Drosophila melanogaster: one gene and its partner. Changing the gene in region 2 together with the main gene of any one other region gives a genetic interaction. Each region holds a gene or a part of one and is shown on either strand. Other genes may lie near its edges.

Evidence for each region.
Region 1: of btd (region 2) and Dll, changing one suppresses a phenotype caused by changing the other (phenotypic suppression), as found in Drosophila melanogaster (one study listed by BioGRID).

What each region holds. Positions count from the first base shown.
Region 1 is NT_033778.4:24,813,107-24,817,915, forward strand, and holds the start of Dll (Distal-less), read left to right. Parts: upstream 1-1,715; 5' UTR 1,716-2,330; coding exon 2,331-2,461; intron 2,462-4,487; coding exon 4,488-4,663; intron 4,664-4,809. UniProt on the Drosophila melanogaster protein: Transcription factor that plays a role in larval and adult appendage development. Specifies the identity of ventral appendages (including legs and antennae) and suppresses dorsal appendage development. Involved in patterning the distal-proximal limb axis.
Region 2 is NC_004354.4:9,692,072-9,698,097, reverse strand, and holds btd (buttonhead), read right to left. Parts: upstream 3,913-6,026; 5' UTR 3,425-3,912; coding exon 2,691-3,424; intron 2,252-2,690; coding exon 1,051-2,251; 3' UTR 540-1,050; downstream 1-539. UniProt on the Drosophila melanogaster protein: Required for the development of the antennal, intercalary and mandibular segments of the head.

The DNA of each region.
Region 1 (4,809 bases), on a different chromosome or scaffold from region 2:
CCAATTAATCGCGGCCCAAGAGGGGTACCCGTATTACCATTGGCCTAGTCAAGCACAAACAGCGCAGCCCAGGCGCCTCACTGGGAAAAGGAACAGTAGCTGCAGTGCAGTGGCTAGCCCGGGCTAATCATAATTTGCATTTAATAAATATTTCATTAAGTAATTGCAACAATTACGTGCATTTGCAGTGCTACCTTAAATTAGTGCAGCGCAGCCGACCAGGTCATAACTCGGAACGGCGGGCTCCACAGCCGATCCGATCCGATCCAATCCGGACGAGGGGATTAGCATTTCAGTCGGATCAGGCGCTCAATTACCGCTGGATGCTCGATTTATATTTACTTTTATAAACAAACTTAATTCGATTTTTGTGGCACTCTGGTTCTGGTTAATAGCGCCGCTCCGACTCATGCATATGCATATTTTCCCACTTTCAGCGGAAATCCTTCTCAGGTGACAACTGCCTGCTGTTGGGAGAGGGGAAAGGGGTGGAATGGAGACCGCTTTGCCGCCGCTTCAACTGCCAGTTAGGCTAGGCGGACAAAGGTGGAAATTCCGCTGTTCTCTCCGCTCGGTGACTTTGTCTTGTGAATGAAAAAGTCCGCTCGAGCAAACGGTCCGTGTCGCTTGGCCCTAGCCACAAAGCGACATTATGTGGCCGAAAGGACGCCATTTTGAATTGGGCCTACTCGAGCTCTCTGCCCTCTCTCGAAACGCTCAAGGGGGCGTGGCGAGGGAGTTTCTGCTCTCAGCAGGGGGCGTGCTGGGTGCGCAGGTAGTATGTGTGTGTACGAGTGCGGCTGCGAGGGTGTGTGTGTGTGTGTTTGACAGGTGAGCAGGTTGGCCCGATAGACTGGTTTGTCGCTGCCAAAGGCGGCCACTAGGTGGCGCCACAAGTACCAACTCCAAGGAGGCTTTAAGACTCCCTAGAAAGGATTTTCAAATTAAAGGTTCCATTAGAAAATGATAGCAGACCTGTCATATATACCACGCTATGTTGTTTGTGTGCGTAGCGTTTTTTCCTTACAAGCAAGCCCACCGATTGTAAAACGTAAACAAATCATTAAGTTAATTCGTCTGTTGTCCGCAACTGTTGATTACCCGTGGAAATGCGTGTGCCACAGTTTCGATTGATCCGAAAATAAGACCCGAAAGGAGCAGCGGCTAAATAAGAAGACAAATTATAGGTTCAACAATCAATTTAATAATTGAGACCTTTGCATTTAATCAACATTATTTAAAACGTCAAAATATTTGCACTTTCCACGGGCAGTTCCCCCTGGAATTTGCATATACACGCCGTAAGTTCCCCAAATCCGTGGGGACGCGGGGCGACAGGCCACGCCTCAATCTCGATGCGGGCCCTAGACCTAGACAAAGTTGACGAGTTGAGCGGCACAAAAACGGGGTCCCAGAGCCCAGCCCCACCCCCGTGCACCCGGAACGGGGAAATTTATAGTATTGGTGCGGTTTCTGCACCACCATACAGAGACACCACCGAGAAAACCGGTTGCAAACCACCCGATTGGCGACGCTCGGCGAGAGTCACTGCCAGCGGCTTGGGCCTCAGCAGCCGTCCCGCTCCGACGCACGGCGATGGATGACATCTGCGCCGCTCGCACACCACTGCTACAGAGCGGCAAAGCGGCACGGCCGCAAAGCGACAGCGCAGCGAGTCGAAGTCTCGCGCAACCGCGCCGCGAAAACCTCACCTAGTCGTATACGCACTTTGTTCGTGTGCAGTCGTCGCCGCTGTTCTCGCCGTTGAATTGCCGTCGTCGATCCGTCGTAGCGTTTTGCGCCTTGCGTTTCTGCGTCGAGCTAAGTGATCCGTCGCGGACTATAAAGTGATTTGTAGTGATCTGATCTGATCTGATTTGATATGAATTGATTTGATTGATTCGCAAAACGGAGTTGAAAATCGTGAAAATCTACAAAGAATATGCACAGCCAGAAATCGAAGTGATACAAGAAAGCAATTTCGAGTGAGTTGAGTTGCTAACAAGTTGAGTGTCAGTGCTGAGAAAAGTGCCTCCTCGCCATCTGAAAGGATTTACGCGCTCAACAGTTCCGCCAAATCAAGTCGCCGAACTGAACTGAAGCCAAGACATTGTGTCCTACAAAAACCTTAGATACGCAAGCCACACACTCCTACTGTGCAAGTATAGCTGATCATTGCCATCGGATCTCTGAGAACTTCCTTCCCGCGCGCATCCCCCTGAACAGCCGTCAAAATTCTTGATAAAGTGGCCTCAATAGGCGCCAACACGCTCAATTTCACGGACCTAGGGAGCCCCTACGAGGGGCCTCCCAGCACCCCCCAGTCGGGCATGGACGCCCCCGACGCCCCGCACACGCCCAAGTACATGGACGGCGGGAACACGGCGGCCAGCGTCACGCCCGGCATTAACATCCCGGGAAAGTCCGCCTTCGTGGAGCTGCAGCAGCACGCCGCCGCCGGGTGAGTGTCCCCAAGATCAGTGGAGTGGAGTCACCGGGAGGATTGCAGAAAGTGTTTCGGCGAAAAGACTCGATCCCCTCCAGACTTCAGCCCTGCCAAAACCAAACCTATCGGAACTCAATCTCAATCTGTGCGGAGCAGTTGACACACCCGAGAAAAAAGGAGTTTGTGGCCAGGGCGTTCCCAAAACTCGAATATGAATCTTTTTAATGAATCTAAAGAGCGCTATACGTACCATAAAACCATTTGGTCTTTAAAATCATTTCATTCATTTCAAGGGAAAAAGTTAGTTGGCATAGGACTACAAGCTGCATAATTGCATAAATAGATAATATAGTACATTGACATTACAATAAACAAATTCAATTTTTAATAATAAATAACAGTTGGTAAAAGCAAGCAGTTAAATAAAGTCAGGTTAACTCAAGAGTATATTGTCTAAGTAGTTCATATAACTTTTTAGGGTCTTAATTACTGATTACATTACAATAGCCAATAGTCTTATTTCGATCGATACATAAATTTTACTATTAAAAAACTTGTATAATTATTAGTTGTCTTAAAAAATGAAAGCAACCAATTGTAGATTTATGAATTCGTCAATGTAATCCAAAGTTAAAAATTATTTTGACTTCCATAAAAATGTACTTCTAAAGTAACAAATGTAGTATAAATTCGAAATCACAATTTTAAATTTCAATTTGCCAATTCGCCATTTAGCCTTCTCTAGGCCCTCAGCCAAATCGACTAAGACTGAATCGATGAAAGTTGCCGTCAGCTTTCCATCTTTATGATACTATTTTCGGGATCGATTTCGCGTTGGGGTCTCGCTATACTATTAGTTTTGATTAAGAAAATCACTTCAGCTGCACTTTCCGGCTTACAGTTCATGCTGGTGCCTGGCTGGCCGGCAGCGGAAGCCAAAAATAAATTCAATTAAGTGTAGTTTACTCCCGGTCCGTGTTCTAAATAAGCGTCTGATCCGGAGGGTTCTGTTCCTATCCAACAACACGTTCCTCATGGGGTAGCAATAAGTCGGGCTCGGTGGTCTGTTTACTGTTACCGCTCACTCGGCGAACTGTTTGCAGCCGCAAATTGTTTTCCCAACGCACGATTCGATTTTTCATTATACATATTTTATTGCATTCTTGGTTTTGAGCCTTGCGGTTTCCACTGCTCTGTCATTTGTGCGTGTTGGGCTCTTGGGCTGGGACGGGACTTGGAATGCTTGGCTGCGCCGACCAGCCCTCGGGAGTTGTTCCTGGCCACGACTTTTCTCCGTCCCCGGAGTGGCTGCCATGTTGTTCGCTGTTCGCTGTCCGCTGTCCGTTGTCCGTTCTCCGTTGTCCGTTGGCCGCTGTCCGTTGCGGTTTCTGCTGCTTTCGGCCCGCTTCCGTTTCCGTGTTTGAGGGGCCAGGAGAGCATTGAATATTTCATGCAGTTCGCTCGGAACATAATGCATGGGAACTTGCTCAACTGTTTCGCCCGCAAAGTGTTAACAAAATATTTACCGCGAGCGAGCGGGACTGCAAACGGAACTGCGGACCAAACCGAAACTAAAACACAGCGACTCTGACACTCGTATTGATTTTTCTTTGATATATTAAGCCGCATCCAGTTCGGGCTTTGGATAGGTTTTGGTTTTGTTTTTGGTTTCGGTTCTGGTTTTTGTAAATGAAGTCATGGCAAAAATTTCCTTCCTCTCCGCCAGCCTAATTTTTTGTTGTGAGAGAAAAAGTTTTGGTTTCGACGCTTCTTGCATTAAACATGAAACATTTTGGGCCCACTTTTAGATATTTTCCCGACCGAACGCTCGTCCTATGCTCGGCGACGTTTGAATTTAATAGTGAATAGTGAAAAGTGTAGACAAAACACGCAAGTAGGAAAAGTTTTGTCCCCGGCACGATTCATTCACATTCACAGCCGGTGTACGCCACTTCCATTACTTCCACTACTTCTTCCACAACTGCCACAGCTATATTACAGCCCCGTATTGATTATTTTCCGTGCATTTGCGGCATTCCAGGTACGGCGGCATCCGGAGCACCTATCAGCATTTCGGACCGCAGGGCGGCCAGGATTCCGGCTTCCCCAGTCCGCGCAGCGCCCTCGGCTACCCGTTCCCGCCAATGCACCAGAACTCCTACTCCGGCTACCATCTGGGCAGCTACGCCCCGCCCTGCGCCAGTCCACCGAAGGATGGTAAGTACTGCTCCTCCTTATCCGATCAGTCTCAGGCCCAATCCCAGTCCCAATCCCATACCTACTCTCCCAGAGATCCGGGTCTTTTGTTGAGAAAGAGATCTTGAAAAGATCTCGCTCGTTGCTTCCCTGTCTATTTTTTGGCG
Region 2 (6,026 bases):
GAGATCTAAAAGTGGTAAGCCGCTTTTAGTGAGAAAAACTACTATTAAATCACATCCGATTGTTATGAAATTCTACAACTATGTGTATCTTGACTAAATAAATCATTGTATTTAAGGATATATACATATCACATTCGTACCTTTATTTATGCACATTTTAAAGTAAAGCAATCTATAAATGATGTACATCTCCCAAGCTAACAATGTTTTTGCAATTTTAAAGCGATGGCCGACGTTGATGAAATTATAACTAGAAATGCAGACAGCTATAATGATTGCTATTGAAAAAGTTTCTATTATTATCCAAATACCGCCAAAGGTCAGCACCCAAAAGCAGATCAAGTTCGCCGGAAGTCGGGAAGCTTCCTGGATCCCTCGATTTATATGCAAGAAAGCAACCCCTGGCGGAGATCAAACAACCCTGAAATCTAACCAAGCCAGGAACCCATTAACAAGGGTGCGTCGGGATCGGAGAGAATAATAAAAAACTGGATTCGCTTTGTTTTCCGATATTATTTTGTTCGTTTTTTTTTTTTATTGTTAGGATTTCATTTCAGTGTGGGGATTTTGTCGCCTTGGATTTTTCACTTTTTGTTGTTGTATATAATTTATCTTAAAGACAATTAACAATTATTATGGTACACAACTAGATGGTTTCTCTCATTCTATATGGTATGGCTTAAAAAGAACGCTATATATGTTTGTATGTACAGACATGCAAAAAAAAATGCCTTAGCTACTAGATTGGGGGAAAAAAAATGAAAAAAATTCAAGTTCTAGTCTCTACATGTATAGTTAATATATGTGTATGTATATATATATATATATATTTATATAATATTATATAATGCCTTATACGGTATTTTGTGAATTCAAATTTTTTTTTGATTTTCACATTATATTTTTATATCAACAATAAACACTGAAAAAAAAACACACACTAGATTTTCGTTCTACGCTTGCTTTGTTGCCGTTCTGGGTTTTGGGACATTATGGCATTTGTTTCATCAACTTTCAACTGTAACAATTTTGGGAAGGATCGGGGACATCCTAGGCGGTGGCATGTGGATGATAGGCCGCTGCCCACGCATTGTGATGGTGCGGATGTGGATGCGGATAACCGTAACTGGCTGTTCCCGCACCAAAATCAGCCGGATAACTGGCCGCATACTCGGACTTCATGTGGCAACTGGAGCTGGAATCCTGGCTAGCTCCGCTGGCCAATCCGCTCATGGTTAGCCCATATTCCGCCGCCAGCTGGGACTCACTTTGCATGGCAAGTGCGGCATAATGATGCTGGGCCAGCGCCGTGGCTGATGCGGCTGGGGAAGATGCAGATCCAATGGCAGAAACGACCGCTGCCGCTGGGGAACTGGCGCTGGAGGATGAGGATGAACTGGCTGAGGTAGTGGCTGGTTGTATGGCACGGCTGCTGCTACTGCTCCACGGCTGCTCCACAAAGCTGGCCGCCGCCGATGATGTTGTCGTCGTCATCTGCTGCTGGAAGAGCGGCGGCGGTGGCGGCGGAGGATTCACACTCGATCCGGCGGATGTGGAATGCTGATAGAGATTGGCATAGGGCGCATAGTTGACCAGCGGTGTCGTATCCGGCTGCTCCTGCTTGAATTCCACGGGTGGCGTCAGTGGCTTACCCGACTTCTTCTCCTTCTTTTCCAGCTTTATCGCCGCAGCCGCCTGCTCCTTGGCCTCGGCGGCCAATACCTTCTTGCTCTTCTTGTCCTTGAAATGGGTCTTCTTGTGCTTGCTGAGGTGATCGCTGCGCGAAAACTTCTTGGAGCAAATGGGGCAGGCATACGGGCGGTAATTGGTGTGCGTACGTCCGTGCCGCTGCAGCTCATCCGATCGGGAGAAACGCTTGCCGCACGTGAGGCACAGGAAGGGCCGCTCGCCGGTGTGCCAGCGCAGGTGGGTCTTCAGATGCGACGCCTTACCGTATAGCCGTTCGCAGCCCGGAATGTGGCAGATATGCTGCTTGCGTCCGCGCTCATCCGGACCCACAATCGGTGGCAGGCCGCTCATCTCGTTGGTGCAATTGGGACACGTGCAGCGAACGGAGCGGCGTTGCAATTGCGTCTGGAAGGCGATGTCGTCGAAATTGAAGCCCGGATAGCTCTGTGAACTCCATGGCTGATAGAGGCGCTCCTGATGCGAGAACCAAGCGGCCGAGGAGGACATGCCCACCGCATTGCCGTAATAATCGGAGGCGTACTGGGCATATGGAAACTGACTTCTAGATGGAGAAAAGAAATGAAGACAGAGAATGGTTAATTTGGTTTTTTTTAATCATTTACTTAATGGGTACACCTGCTATCGGAATACTAAATTGTAATGTATTCAAGTGGTACCTATCATTTTATAAGTTTATGAGATTATTTGTATGCTAATCCATTTCAATCTTCGGGATAATTTGATTAATATATTCCTATGTATTAAACTGTATAATTTGCAAAAGATATATGTCTTTATCTCGCTCATGATCGAAATACAATCAGCCTGTAGTTATTCTATTAAAAGGAGATCTAATTCAGATCGAAATTAGTGTATCCCTAATAACCACAAATTTGATGATCTATAAGCTTTGATTTATTGATCACTAGCATTTTAAAGTTTCTTTCTTACGAATGATTCCCAACTCAACTTCTGTAAATCCTATATATAGGGATATTTACCTCGCTGGCCCCAATCCGGAGTAGGCGGTATTCCAGCCGTAGGCGGCACTGGCGACCGCCGCTGCTCCAAGGTCCGCTGCTGCCGCCGCAGCTGCTGCTGCCGCCGCTGCAGCCGATGCTGCTGACGAGGATGGTGAGGAGGATGTGGGTGATCCCGCTAGGGCGCCCGCTGCCGCCGTTGTTGGTGGCGCCAAGGTCGTGGTGGGCGTGGATGGACTAGCCGAAATGGAGGCGAATGACTGGGCAGGTGATGGGAAGATGCTGGGCGACACGGAGGCCGATGATGGCGCCGATTGTATGCTGGAGTTGGGCGATGCGGTGCCCGTGGATGAGGCCTGTGGATACGGCAGTTCCAGCTTCATTGGCGGCTTTCCATATAGCGGAGAACTGCCGGAGCTGGAGCCGGAACTCGAGCCGGATAGGGATGGTGGGGCGGACAGCAGGGCGGCGGCGCTGAGGAAGTCATGTTGCTGCTGTTGCGGCTGTTGTTGTTGCTGCTGTTGCTGCTGCTGTTGCTGCTGTTGTTGTTGCTGCTGCTGCTGTTGCTGTGTCAAGTGTTGCATATGCTGCTGTTGCGCCTGCTGATGCGACAAGTGCAGATGATGTTGCGCCTGCTGCATGTGCAGATGATGTTGCTGTTGTTGCGCGTGTTGCTGATGTTGCGCATGTTGCTGCTGCTGCGCCTGATGCTGTTGCGCATAGGGATTTAAGTAATTGCAGGCCGCATCGATCATGTTGAAAACGCTTGCGATTTTAATGTTGCGCTGAGATTTGTTTGGATCCTACTGCTGCGATTGCTGCTGCGTTTTACTGCTTCTGGTTGCTACTGCGTTCGTTAACAATTTTCGCACATTGCTCTTGCACTTATTGATATTCGCTCGTGTAATTATGGCACGCTTTTCACTTTAGTTTTATAATTATAGTCTTTTGCTGCCGCGCACGTAATTGCGAGCACGCGGAGGAGAACACGGAAAAAACACAAACAAATTAAAGGCGGCCGAAAATTCGCCAATGCTGCGTGCAAATATATATATATATATATCCCTCTATATATACAAATCTATATGCATATATATATATATAGATCCGAAAACGAGCGAGTTTCTCTGCTGCCACTGCGGCTGGCTCTTCTGCTTCTTCTTCTTTCGTTCGTAGTGCTGCTGCTGCTGCGCGTGATGTGATGTGATACAACCACCGGTAATTATCGTCGATTGTCGACTGAATTCCAAAACGCGGCGAGAGAGTCTAACAACGTACAAAACGAATCCACTTGGCTGCGGGCAGAGGCGCGGGCAGAGGGCAGCGGCAGCGCTGCTGCTGCTCGTGCTGTCACATTCTCGCACTCGTCTATCGCCACTGAGCGCTGAGCCAGCTCTCGCTCTCTCTCGCTCTCGGCACCATCATGGTGGTTGTTTTTGGCCGCAACGGTGTGCCTTCGGGGCAACTCGCTTCGTCTCGCTTGCACGTGTGGCGCGGAAGTGTCACTCCCGGCAGCAGCAGCCACTCTCCGTAGCTAGCTCACTCTCTCTCTCTCTTTCGCTCTTGCGGTATGGTGCTCTCTCTCCACGTTGCTGTTGCAGTGTTGTTATTGCTGGCGCTGCTGCCGCGGGCGTTTTGTTTTAATTTCTATGTGTGGGTTTGTGTGTCAAAGCAATTGGGTGAGCATGCGTTTTGTTGTTGCTGTTGTTGTTGTCGTTTCAGCTAGTGCTCAAAATGCTTATATTTGTTGTTATTGTTGGTTATATCTAAACTTTAAGCCAAAAATGTTGGCTTAAATTTAATGCAAAGTTTGTATTTAAGAATATGTGTAAATAATTTACATTATTAGCATTTTTAGTGAAGTATTTGAAATATTTGATTAGTGAAGTATTTGAAATATTTTATTATTTAGTTGGTTAATCTATATATTCCATAATTTATGTTTATTTTAACCCTATCAACCCCTCAAAATGTGTATAAAATAAATAACGTATTCACGTATCCTTTGCAATTCAAAATAAAGAGCTTAGCAAATATTTTAGAAAAATTGTATTAATTTTTTTTAAGTCTGCTAACTTAGAGATAGTTTCTAACTACAAATTTAGTTTTTATTTTCAATTTTAAACATTTAAATTTCTCATATAAACCTTAAGTACACACAAAATATAGGTATTGTTACATATATCCGACCGATTTTTAATGCCCATAAATTACTCGACATTTTACACATTTCAAGTACCGTCATTAAAAGCACGAATATCTGCTTAAATTCTCATTATCCCCTTGCCCACTCAGACCATCAATTTGTTTCGATGAAAGTAAGCAGACAGAGAGAAAGAAGTATGGCTCATCACTTTAATTAAATTAAAATTTCTGTTTAATGGCATTTTTCTCCAGAGGATCCCAATGATAAAAAGTAACGTTAGAAGACGAAGAGGGAGCGTGCATAATTCAAATATCAATACAATAACAATAAAAACTAATAAATTTGTGGTCGCGGCCCAATGAAATAACTGTATTTAAAGGGGCGTTGACCAAACACCACCACAAAAGAGACAGCAGCTCTCTCCTTCGCTCTCTCTCTCTCGCATGGCCTGCGCCCGTTTCGTGTGTGCGTGCGTTTGTGTATGCTTGTGTGCCGCATATTAATCACAATTGCTGTTGCTGTTGTTGTTTTCGCTCCCTTTTTATTACGCGGCGTCTTTTTTATTACGCATACGCAACGTGGGTCTGAGCCACAAATTTTACGACTTGCTGCTGCTGTGAAAAGATAATGATGACTCCCAAAACGGAACAAGCTCACGGAAGTGCATCTCGACTCTTAAGCTACCCATTGTTAAGATGAATATCATTATGTAGGGGATTTCTTGGGATAATATGAGATTTAATGTTTAACCAACTGATATGACTCAATACTATTGCACTCCAAGTATTTCTGAGTTTCAGATATATTTTACTATGTGTCAAAAATTGTTAAGACTTTTTTTAATATTGTTCAAATAAACATACAATTTGTTATGGGCTTAAATAAAAGAAAAAGTTGTTGTTCCTGATTTGTCAGTATTATTCGTAAGTGAACAAGTAGTTTGTTACAATACAAACAATTGGAATATTAACTATTAAATATTTTAGAATACATCAAAATCGAGTATGCCCAAGTTGGGCTTTACAGGGTACCAGCCGCACTTCTGGGCAACATGTAATGAAACGGAAGATACAATTATATTGAGGCAAGCAGGGCAACAACGAGGAGCCTGTCTCGTACTGGCAGTCTCCTCCTTGTCCCGATACCCTCCTCCCTCCTCCCTCCGCCCCTTTGGCTCTTTTGGCTACCGAAGATTTATGACAATGCTGAAG